Bombyx mori: one gene and its partners. The protein of the gene in region 2 interacts with the protein of the main gene of each other region in a pairwise test. Links are inferred from orthologs where the notes say so. Each region holds a gene or a part of one and is shown on either strand. Other genes may lie near its edges. The genes, in order: tyrosine aminotransferase, ubiquitin-protein ligase E3A and DNA replication licensing factor Mcm6.

Region 1 (4,283 bases), on a different chromosome or scaffold from region 2:
ATCTGCTTGAATTAATTATGAACTAACAGAAAAACAAATAAAATGTGATATTTTATATTTTGGTATTAGAAAATCTAAATTTTAGTGTGTATGTTTACAATAATAAAACACTAATCAGAAATGGATGAAGTAAAAGAAAAACCAAAATAAGAAACAGAAAAAGTCCATCCCAATGGCATGGGGGCAATGGATATAAACCAATCAAGGTTGTGGTCAGGGTCATCAAACTTATTTGAAATCCCTATTCCACATGATACAAGGACAAAAACTAAGTTGCTGTACAATCCCAACATCGTTTTTTTGCATTAAAAGTGTACAATTTACAAAAATATTCGAAATTGAGTTAATATGAGGAATCATTTGCTATCACCAGTATTTTTTTAATAAATACTGTCAAAACAGCGTAGTTTAGTTTTAGCCTTTTTTTTTTTAGTTTACCTATGTTTTGACTACTAACAAAATTAATACATAATTTTATCTTACTTTAAAATACAGATAATGTAACTGGTAAAAAATAAAAAATAAATGTTGCAAAGATGATCAATATGAAAAATATCACATGTTAAACCTTTACAACACTCTCCTGTAAAATTAGTAAGTTTTGAGATTATAGTTTTTATGCGAGAAGATGATATTATGGTATAAGGGCAAGAAGGTGATGAATTAAATATATGATGAAGAGTTATATATGTACAATAATATAATACTATTAATGAGACACAAATTGTCACAAATTATAGCACATCTTATAGCTATAGCTATGTTTTATGTAGTATAGTTTAGGTTACCTTAAACAGCTCTTGTGCTATGGGGTTTGCTGGAATATTTTTTAAAGTTTGATCATTTTTATAGAGTAGTTTAAGTGTATCATTCCAGAACTGCAATCTGAAAGCTGCTGTCTGAGAATCGGTGGTTTGATCTTGTATACGAGCTACTTCTACATTGAAGGCTCTGACTACAAGCGTCGGAGATCTTACAGCCTTTGTCAGGAGCAGTGTGGCCAAAAAATTTTCATAATCGTGCTGCCTATCTGTAACATAAATATACAAGTACCAGAACTTGCTTCACAATTCAAATTTTATTTTTATTTTCGTCTGTATAAATATTATTTTACCTTACTAAATTTGCACAGTAATTTAGTGAGTCCTGGTTAGACTCTGCTATTTTTGAGAGAAATCTAGTAGTAAATGCTGGCATTTTAAGTATTTTGTATGTCTTAAAATTAATTATATTACTACCCAAACCCATTTTGGTTTGAATTATTGACACCAGAAACCAAAGAGTATGTCCAGACCTTCATTGGTCCAGACACTACCATCCACCATAGACATACATAGCATATTAAGTGTAATGTGTATAATCTATGTACATACTACATCATAGCTTCCCGTCAAAGGACTTTTTGGCGGAAACGCGAGGAGTGAAGTTGTGTGATTTGTTTTATTTTGTCTATTTAGTGTTTCTTCAGGTTTAAATGTGTAATAATGGTGGTTTATTAACTGTTTAATATCTATGAAAGTGCACAAATGTGGGAAAATGAAACAAAGCTGCTGGACGTAACTTCTCGGGTTCCTCCAAAAAGTCCACTGAAAAAATCTCAGTAAATGATCACCATTTTACTGAGATTATATTTCATCCCATTTCATTTCATTTAATTTCATCCCAGTTGATTAATGTCTCAAATTAATCATCTTCATTTCATTTCACTCCATATTATCATTTTTCATAAAAATATGAATATAAATTAAAATAAGACATGACTTAAAGGTCTCAGTTACCAGGTCATAAAACCACTTAAAAAAAAAGCTTCCCGTCAAATACTAAGTGTATTATCTATGGCTTCGCGAGATAGCATAGACCATGGAGTTAATGGACTTTTTGGCGGGAACGCGAGAAGTGAAGTTGTGTGATTTGTATTATTTTGTCTATTTAGTGTTTCTTCAAGTTTAAATGCTGTAATAACGATGGTTTATGAACTGTTTAATATCTGTAAAAGTGCACAAATTTGGGAAAATGAAACGCAGCCGCTGCACGTAACTTCTTGGGATCCTCCAAAAAGTCCACTGAAAAAATCTCAGTAAATGACCACAATTTTACTAAGATTAAATTTCATCCCATATCATCTCATCTCATTCAATTTAATTTCATTCCAGTTGATTAATGTCTCAAATGAATCATCTTCATTTCATTTCATTTCATTTCACTCCTTAATATAATTTTTCACAAAATAAGAATTTTAATAATAATAAGACATGACTTAAAGATCTTAGTTACCAGGACATAAAATCCCTTAAAAAAACCATGGGGTTAATAAGTAAAACTAAAAAAAAAATACACTAACTTAGCAACACTGCTTTTTGTTTGTAATATGTGCGTTTTTCCTTACATCTATTGATGTTTAAAAATAAATTTTAAATTACAGACGTCGTTTGGTGGGTAGAGCCCTAAAACATCCTTGGACCCGCCGCAGTCTGTTCACAACATCTGCAGGCCGTCAAGTCCAACATACCGATTCTAAACAGTTAGAAAGCCGCCCTTATTTATACATTGAAACCTGAAAAAACACTAAAGTAACAAAACAAATCAATTTAAACAACTTCACTCCTCGCGTTCCCGCCAAAAAGACTGATTAGAGGTGATCGGTTCATCGTTACTATGCTTAGCAAACGGACATTAGCTTCTTCTGAGGTAAGAAGAGGAAGAAAGAAGCTTAAATAAAAACTGGAAGAAGGCTGAATCGGCCCGAATAAATCCGCACTTGTTTGCCAGAGATCTCTTTCTTGCCACATGCCACAGAATATCAAAATGGCTGAACACGATGGTGTTACGTCTCAAAAAAACTATTTTCTTACCTAATCTCTTACTACTCTTATCCCATTCTCACGGATCGTTTGGAACCTTTGGGTCTGCGGAGGGACTTCGGTTCCCTCTGTATTTTGTACCGTATGTTCTATGGGGAGTGCTCTGAGGAATTGTTCGAGATGATACCGGCATCTCGTTTTTACCATCGCACCGCCCGCCACCGGAGTAGAGTTCATCCATACTAGCTGGAGCCACTGCGGTCATCCACCGTGCGTTTCCAGAGATCTTTTTTGCCACGTACCATCCGGCTATGGAATGAGCTCCCCTCCACGGTGTTTCCGGAGCGCTATGACATGTCCTTCTTCAAACGAGGCTTGTGGAGAGTATTAAGCGGTAGGCAGCGGCTTGGCTCTGCCCCTGGCATTGCTGAAGTCCATGGGCGACGGTAACTACTCACCATCAGGTGGGCTGTATGCTCGTCTGCCTACAAGGGCAATAAAAAAAAAACCTATGCCTAATAAGAAAATTATTAAATCACTCGATGAAGCTGCGGGCAGAAAGCTAATACATGTTAAAGCAAGAATGTTGTGAATTAAGAATGTTGTACACGTCGAACTCATATGGTGTGATATACCTAAAGAACGTACATAAATTTATTTATATCTGCCGTGAAGCAGTAATGCGTTTCGGTTTGGATGGCGGGGCAGCCGTTGTACTGTTAAAAGCGAGACCTTAGAACTCATGTCTCAAGTTGGGTGGCGGCATTTACGTTGTAGATGTCTATGGTCTTCTGTAACCACTTAGCATGAGGTGGGCCGTGCGCTCATATACCAATCTAAGTAATAAATAAATAAATAACTATCTACTTAACGGTAGGCAGTGGCTTGGTTCTGCCCCAGGCATTGCTGAAGTCCATGGGCGACGATAATCACTCACCAACAGATGGGCCGTATGATCGTCTGCCTACAAGGACAATTTTTTTTTTATCGGGAATGTTTTGAAAAATTATAGGCATTGTCGTACTAACATAGAATACGCTAATTAATTTATCAGTGATTATTTTTTTAGAGACAGTAGAATTATTAGACAGACGTTTCAAGCGGTATTCGAAGTTTGTCTTTAGAAAATTTTAGCTTGAATATCTAATCCAAGATTTTAAAGTACAACACCTTTATCTGAAATTTAGGAGGCAGTGATTTTTTTGGAACCTCCAATGTAAATTACATATTCCACATGGAAAATTCCACATATAAATTGAAGGCCACCGCTGCACCGCTTCAACCCGTAAATTATGCTCGGTATTCCTTACAAGTCGTATTATTGTATTGTTTAAATGTATATAATATACTTGTTTGAGGTAAATTTGTATTATTTCTTAATGTAAAGATTCGATAACCTAATTTTAATGAACTAAGTGTAAATTAAAAACAAAATGAAAATTCAATATGAGAATCGGTGTCAAAACCATTGATAACAAAACG
Region 2 (2,421 bases):
ATTCATTACAATATAAGTAAAGAAATAAATAAAAATAATAAATAATTAGTTAATAACAATAGTTATTTAGTATTTTTAAGTATTTTTCTATATAAAATTTTATCCCTAAAAATATCCCCAAAAAATTTCACCCCCTAAAAAAATCCCTGTATAGATTTTTCCCCCCTAAATTTGGGGGGAAAACCCCGGAGTTGGCATCACTGATTCGATGTTTCTGTTTCATTTTAAAACTTCATTTTATTGTACTTGAATTCTGTGCTAAAAGCTTTTTAAACATCATTAGCCCCACCTCTTGTCCGTTGACGGTACTAAATATACTACAAATTAATAGTCAACAGCTTTTGTTGCAAGTTTAAATTCATTGATAAACGAACACTCTTAGCACATATTAGATCTTACTTGTGGTATGTCGTATTATAGTCTCGCATCAGTAGGCTCAGTTCAAAGCCGCGAACCAGCGATTCGTATCTTTTGAAGGGTGAAACAGCTGTTATATTTACTTATTTAATTTAGAACACGATAGGTCTCAAAGTAAGCGACGGTGTTCACATTGTCACGATGTCTATGGACTCCGGTAGCCACTTAGCGCTCGTAGTTCGTTATACTCTGGGTGCTAGGAGACTGCTTCCGAAAACGAAGACAGACGATAGTACTATTGACACCTTTGGTAATGGGACGAAAATAAAATAGATCATGATTTAAAAAAATCATATTTTTTTGCAATTGCAATGTTTGAAGTGAAACTTTAGAAGAATCGTTGTGATTTCAAACTCAATGAAACGAAAAAATAAGTCCATAGAGACACAAACACATAAATGTATAGGATTCAGCCGGCGAGAGAATGAGATAGAACACATTAGACGTTCTCGGTCTCCTCTTTGTGCGATTCTTCGTAACATCCCCATTATCGTCTACTAAACATTGTCCATATGTATGCACCTGTGTAGTGGGATAGTCACAGTGTGACTTGCACACACTTTTTTATTGTGAACGCCGCCTCTACTTCTTTTATGGCGCCTGCAAATTTTATACGTACAAAGTTGTAAATTTTGCGTCGCGCCGGTGTGCGTGTTAAAGAAACGCCGCGCTCGAGCGTTCGTTGATCCGAGCATCAGCTGTTTTTAATTTTGTGTTTCACTGCTGGTTTTCTTTTCAAATAAAGTAATGTATTTTTTATGAAACTATCGTTTCATTTAGCTGTATTAACATAATGGAGGGTAAATAATGCTGATAAAACGTTTTAAAAATATGTTTTTTTTAAAAATCAGGTTCGACTTTTTTTCTGTCTCATCATCTATGTTAGGTGTCATTAGTACTATCGTTACCTCGATCGATACCTCGTTTTCGGAAGCGGTCTCTTAACACCCAGTGCATATAGCAATACAATAAAAATACCGTATTATATTTTGAAGGTTTTCGATTTCCACGAGCTGGAAAAGTCGACAGAATACGATGGCGGCTACGCGTCCGACTCTAAAATCGTACAGGACTTTTGGGGCATCGTGCACAGCTTGCCGCTGGAGGACAAGCGGAAGCTGCTTCAGTTCACGACCGGGTCGGACCGGGTGCCCGTGGGCGGGCTGTGCAACTTGAACTTTGTGATCGCGAGGAACGGCCCGGACTGCGACCGGCTTCCCACCGCGCACACTTGCTTCAATGTCCTACTGCTACCCGAGTACGACACTAGAGACAAACTACAGGACAGACTCTTGAAAGCCATCAACTACTCGAAGGGATTCGGTTTGCATTGAAGCTATGCTATACGACGACGACGACGCAACGCAACGCGGAACTAACTCAACAAAATTAGCATAATATTATAGTCGAGGAGTCGCCACGATGATGTTTCTGTATCATTGATGATTAAAGTTTGTTTTATTTAAGCGTAAAGTTTTTTTTTAATTACTCTATTTATTATGTCTGGCTGGGCAGCGTTCGGGAAGCTTCGTCAGGTCTTTTCGTCGCCCAAACCACAATGTCTGAAGACAAAGGTCTACAATCAGTGCGTCCTACCCGTGCTTACCTACGGAGCCGAAACGTGGACACTGACTGTGCGACTAGTCCACCAACTAAAAGTTACTCAGCGAGCCCATAGCTCGCGAGCTATGCTTGGTTTATCATTGCGAGACCGAATACGCAATGAGGTCATTCGGGCAAAAACCAAAGTGATCGATATAGCTTGCAGAGTTAGTAAGCTGAAGTGGCAGTGGGCTGGTCACATATGTCGCAGTACCGATAACCGTTGGGGTAGACGTGTTCTGGAGTGGAGACCGCTAACCGGTAAACGTAGTGTAGGACGCCCTCCTGCTAGACGGAGCGACGACCTACGCAAGGCAGCTGGCAGTAACTGGATGCGTAGAACCGAAGATCGGGTTCAGTGGCGAGCTTTGTACTGCCGCAGGTTAATGATGATGATGATGA
Region 3 (4,381 bases), on a different chromosome or scaffold from region 2:
TAATAAAATCCCTCACATAAAAAGAAGCAAACAGATCCTCACTTATAATGCAGTTCTCGCACTCCAAGAGCCTTGAGTCCCTTTATGCCTTCCATTTGACCTTCATTTGCTAATTTAGTCCTGGTTGTAATCTCAGCCCTGGAGCCTGGCATTGACAAGGCTCCCACATCAGGCACTACAATCAGTGTTCCTGTAAAATCATAACGGTCACCAGCCTAAAAAACAAATTATACTTTTAGTTTCAATTTAGATTGATTAATCTTAGTTTGATATTTTTGGCTTTACAAATATCGAGAAATTGGGAAGTTCAGGTCTTGTCCATATCATGTTTCTTTTAAATTCACCTGCACAGATTCAACAGCTTCAGCCCTCAATATCACTTCAAGAGATCTGGGTATGCAACCACGGGGCAATTCAGCTTGGGTTTCCTGGATTCGTATCTTTTGGAAGTCAACAAAAACGCTCTTGTCTGCGTCCAGCATAAAACGCCTTCTATTAGCACATACAGGATTACGGCAGATTGTTGGAATTGTGTACTGAGGATAAAATAATATTTGTTAATTAATTTATTATTTATTTTAATTAATTCCATTTAATTTTATTAAGTTACTGTATTTCTCTAAAGAATTAATAAAATCAATTAATTAAAAAATCTTACCTTAAACTGTTGCTCTACATTTTTAATAACTGTTTGACAATCTAAGCACACAAATGTGCCCTGAACTAATTCAGGGTGAACTGGATGTGTCCTTACAATCTGCCCAGAGATCCTTATGAGAGTACCAATCTTTGCTGTGGTTAACTCCCTTACTTTGTGTCTTGTTGGTACATCAACAAATGAAACATAGCATTCTTTATCTTGTAGATCTTTTTTCATTCCAGTTTCCGCAAGACTGAGTATGTAATTCAAAATGGCTCTGTTTAGAAATGGATATATCCTATAATACTCTTCAATTATTGTGGTAGCAAGATTCTGGTTGTACTTTTCAACATCATCAAAACTAACTTCAAGGGTACTGAGCTCTGGTTTCAATAGTTCCTTAGCATGTTTCTCATATTTGATTTCGTTATCTTCCTTAAATCTGTAAATATTTTTTTTTGTTAATTATTTGCTGAAGCGGTTTTAAATTTATATCAAGAAGTCTGTTTGCCAACTAATGAAAATATGGAAGAAAAGCATTTATTCATAATATGGTAAATAAAAAAACAAATAACTTAGTATTATAACAAACTTGATTTTTAAAATCAAACATACTCTTCTAAGAAGTCTTGAAAAAGCTTTTGGCATCGAATTCCCACTTCATCTTTTACTTGACTCTGTGTGGCATATGTGTCAGCTACATCCATGGTTCACGACCTGAATAATATGTAACACCAGAGCTTAAGGGTGAGTTAATTTGCAAAGTTTGTTAAACGATTCTGCAATCTGCAACTTTAAAACAATGACAATAAACAAGTAACCGGTTACACGTGTTCTGTAATGATTCTCACTTAGATGGGCTAATCGTTTCTATGGACAGAGCTCAATTACTTCAATATTATTAGTTGATTTTGTTTAATAAAACTTTAAAAAGAAAATATTTTGAAAACGAGAACCGATAAAAATTCAAACATGTGTACAAGCGTACCAATTTGAACTATGACAGATTGAACGTCAGACTGACAAGAGGGTCCCGAGGGCGGGAAAACGTTGTAAAATTGTCCCTTCAAAAACAATAAAAATTTATCTATTCATAAAGAATAGGCAAAGACAAAGCAGTACTACACTACATTATTTTCTTCTCTTTGTCAGATATTATAAAGTATTTACATTGAAAAGAAAAACAGTGACTGCGGTGGAACAATAATAATACACTAAATATGAAGAAATGCTTACATAATTAAGTAAGTAGTTCAAGACAAGAATGTTCCAAATGCAATTTTAAATATCGGAAGAATTTTCCTTACGTCAAAATAAAGCTGGTACGGTACTCTCGATTATGTGCATAAGTTTCATTATTAAATAACATGACCATATGAAGTGTCTAAAATCTTTCGGACTAGCACAATTAGTTTTTATTGTTGGACGGTTAAATTTAAGGGGACTAGGTTCTGGAGGAGAGAGGCTATTTAAAAACACTCTGCTTCATGGTTAATTTAATTATATTGCAAATACTTTGTACACTATTACACCATTATAATATTTTATTTTGATACAACTCTAAGATGTTACTCTGTCCGTGTCTAGATGAGAAGTCATTGTCTTCACTGACGAGAAGACAAATTATTTGTTTTAAACATTTAAATAAGCATTCCAATATTTGAAATCTGTGACCTTACATGTGTCAAGTGTTGCCTACCATCGCTTACATACATGGAGATAATCTTATATATTCAAACTCCAACACTTATAGATACGCTTGGGGCACTGTTTGACTCCTTGGCATTTTTTTCAATAACTATACGATTAGTTTTTCGAGAGCTGTTCGTGCTCACCCTACTGTTCTGTAGATTTTATCAAAACTTGCCGATCCAGTTGGACAGGTAAAACCCCAAAACTCTTATTCAGTCGTAAAAACTAATAAGTAAGATATGTACATGCTTCAATAAAATATGAAATGCATGTTAAAAATTATAATGTAGCACTTGATCTGTCAGTGAAAACTGAAAGCGGAAAGAATTATTTAACGAATCCGTTAGAATTATGTAACGAACCTAAAGTTGTTTATTTTCCCTGTTTTCCAATTACAGCACTAGAGCGCATTATGCGGCATAATGCTCAACGTCGAATGTTCCTACTACAGCAACGCTTCGCACAATCGAGCACTCTCAAAAGTACTGCTCTCGCGTGATACTCGCAATCGATACCGACTCAGTGACAGAAAATTGACAAGTGTTTTTTCTTTAAGTTGGAATTGATCGAAATTTTGTTTATATTATCGTTAGTAATATTATTTATTGTTGAAAAATTTTGTAAGGCTTTCGTTTCGTCGTAGTTTCTTGGAAATAATCAAAGTTAATTGAAACTGTGCTAAAAAAAATATAAGTATGGATGATTCACTTAAAAAGTATATAATTTTCATAGAACTCATTTAAAAAAAATACTCAAAATGTAAAAAAATGTTAATGAAATAATAAAAATCCAAATTACTTAAAATAACCGTAAATAGTTTTCAACCAATTATTATTGTTTACTACATTATTTATATATTAATGAGGTTGCCAACTCCATGAATATTTTTTTTCAACATTGAACTTATCGCACTCTGCTGATGCATTTGAAAACTATTTTACGTTCCAATTAAGATTCAGCATAATTCAGCATTGTGTGCTATTGAGTCGCATTATGCGCTGTAATTGGAAAGCTACCTTTATGAATATTTGAAACATCTAGATTATAAAAGTTTGGCGGAAACGAGTGAGAGTGGTTATAACCATGGACAATACCCTCCAAAAAGTCCACTGAGAAATCTCAGTAAATGACCACCATTTTACTGCGATTATATTTCATTCCATATCATCTCATTTCATTTAATTTCATCCCAGTTGATTAATGTCTCAAATTAATCATCTTCATTTCATTTCACTCCATTTTATCATTTTTCATAGAAATAAGAATATAAATTAAAATAAGACATGACTTAAAGGTCTTTTTTACCAGGTCATAAAATCCATTAAAAAAAATCGCTCCACTGATTAGCGTTTGAGAAAGTTATGAAGTTTCATAATATGTAGTAATTAGTAAGACAACTTCCCAATAAAGTTGTTTTTAAGTGCACTAATCATTGAAAATGACAGAAACAAAAATAGCCTTTCTATATAAAATAGCGTCTTCCTTACCATCAAATATATCCAACAATCTTCAAAATGTGTTGAAAAGTTATTATTTGTATGTAACAAAAATGTTTGTCACATTTATATATTGTATCGAGTTATCTGGATATTAAAAAAAAAAAACTATCTATTTCAGAATGAAATGTAAAGAAGTAACTAAAGGTTATGGACTACCAGATAAACATTTCTCAACAGCTGCAAGATGCCCGCACTGCTGCCTAGAATGGAAAAAAGGAACTAATATCAAAGTAGATATTTCAATAATTTGCAGTACATTTAACAAAGTAGTTTTTTCCATGCCAATGACCACTATGACTACCTTTTTTGTCTTTGTGTTTGTTTGTAATTCCCAAAAATAGATATGAAGAAAAGACAAGAAAACATTTTTTTTTATTGCTTAGATGGGTGGACGAGCTCACAGCCCACCTGGTGTTAAGTGGATACTGGAGCCCGTAGACATCTACAACGTAAATGCACTATCCACCTTCAGATATAAGTTTTAAGGTCTCAGTATAGTTACAACAGCTGACCCACCCTTCAAACCGAAACGCATTACTGCTTCACAGCA

The links.
Region 1: the proteins of ubiquitin-protein ligase E3A (region 2) and tyrosine aminotransferase interact in binary tests that used the Homo sapiens proteins (3 or more experiments, as listed by UniProt). The link is inferred for Bombyx mori from reciprocal best matches to the Homo sapiens genes UBE3A and TAT.
Region 3: the proteins of ubiquitin-protein ligase E3A (region 2) and DNA replication licensing factor Mcm6 interact in binary tests that used the Homo sapiens proteins (3 or more experiments, as listed by UniProt). The link is inferred for Bombyx mori from reciprocal best matches to the Homo sapiens genes UBE3A and MCM6.

What each region holds. Positions count from the first base shown.
Region 1 is NC_085110.1:12,109,056-12,113,338, forward strand, and holds the start of tyrosine aminotransferase, read left to right. Parts: upstream 1-1,395; 5' UTR 1,396-2,688; intron 2,689-4,283. Other genes in the region: NADH dehydrogenase (ubiquinone) complex I, assembly factor 6, read right to left, coding at 789-1,026, 1,115-1,248. UniProt on the Homo sapiens protein: Transaminase involved in tyrosine breakdown. Converts tyrosine to p-hydroxyphenylpyruvate. Can catalyze the reverse reaction, using glutamic acid, with 2-oxoglutarate as cosubstrate (in vitro).
Region 2 is NC_085119.1:5,211,811-5,214,231, reverse strand, and holds the end of ubiquitin-protein ligase E3A, read left to right. Parts: intron 1-1,412; coding exon 1,413-1,751; 3' UTR 1,752-1,890; downstream 1,891-2,421. UniProt on the Homo sapiens protein: E3 ubiquitin-protein ligase which accepts ubiquitin from an E2 ubiquitin-conjugating enzyme in the form of a thioester and transfers it to its substrates.
Region 3 is NC_085132.1:5,464,691-5,469,071, forward strand, and holds the start of DNA replication licensing factor Mcm6, read right to left. Parts: upstream 2,837-4,381; 5' UTR 2,695-2,836; intron 1,696-2,694; exon of another isoform or gene 1,462-1,695; intron 1,358-1,461; 5' UTR 1,348-1,357; coding exon 1,256-1,347; intron 1,083-1,255; coding exon 659-1,082; intron 537-658; coding exon 345-536; intron 216-344; coding exon 43-215; intron 1-42. Other genes in the region: uncharacterized protein LOC101741249, read left to right, coding at 3,771-3,868, 3,950-4,061. UniProt on the Homo sapiens protein: Acts as a component of the MCM2-7 complex (MCM complex) which is the replicative helicase essential for 'once per cell cycle' DNA replication initiation and elongation in eukaryotic cells.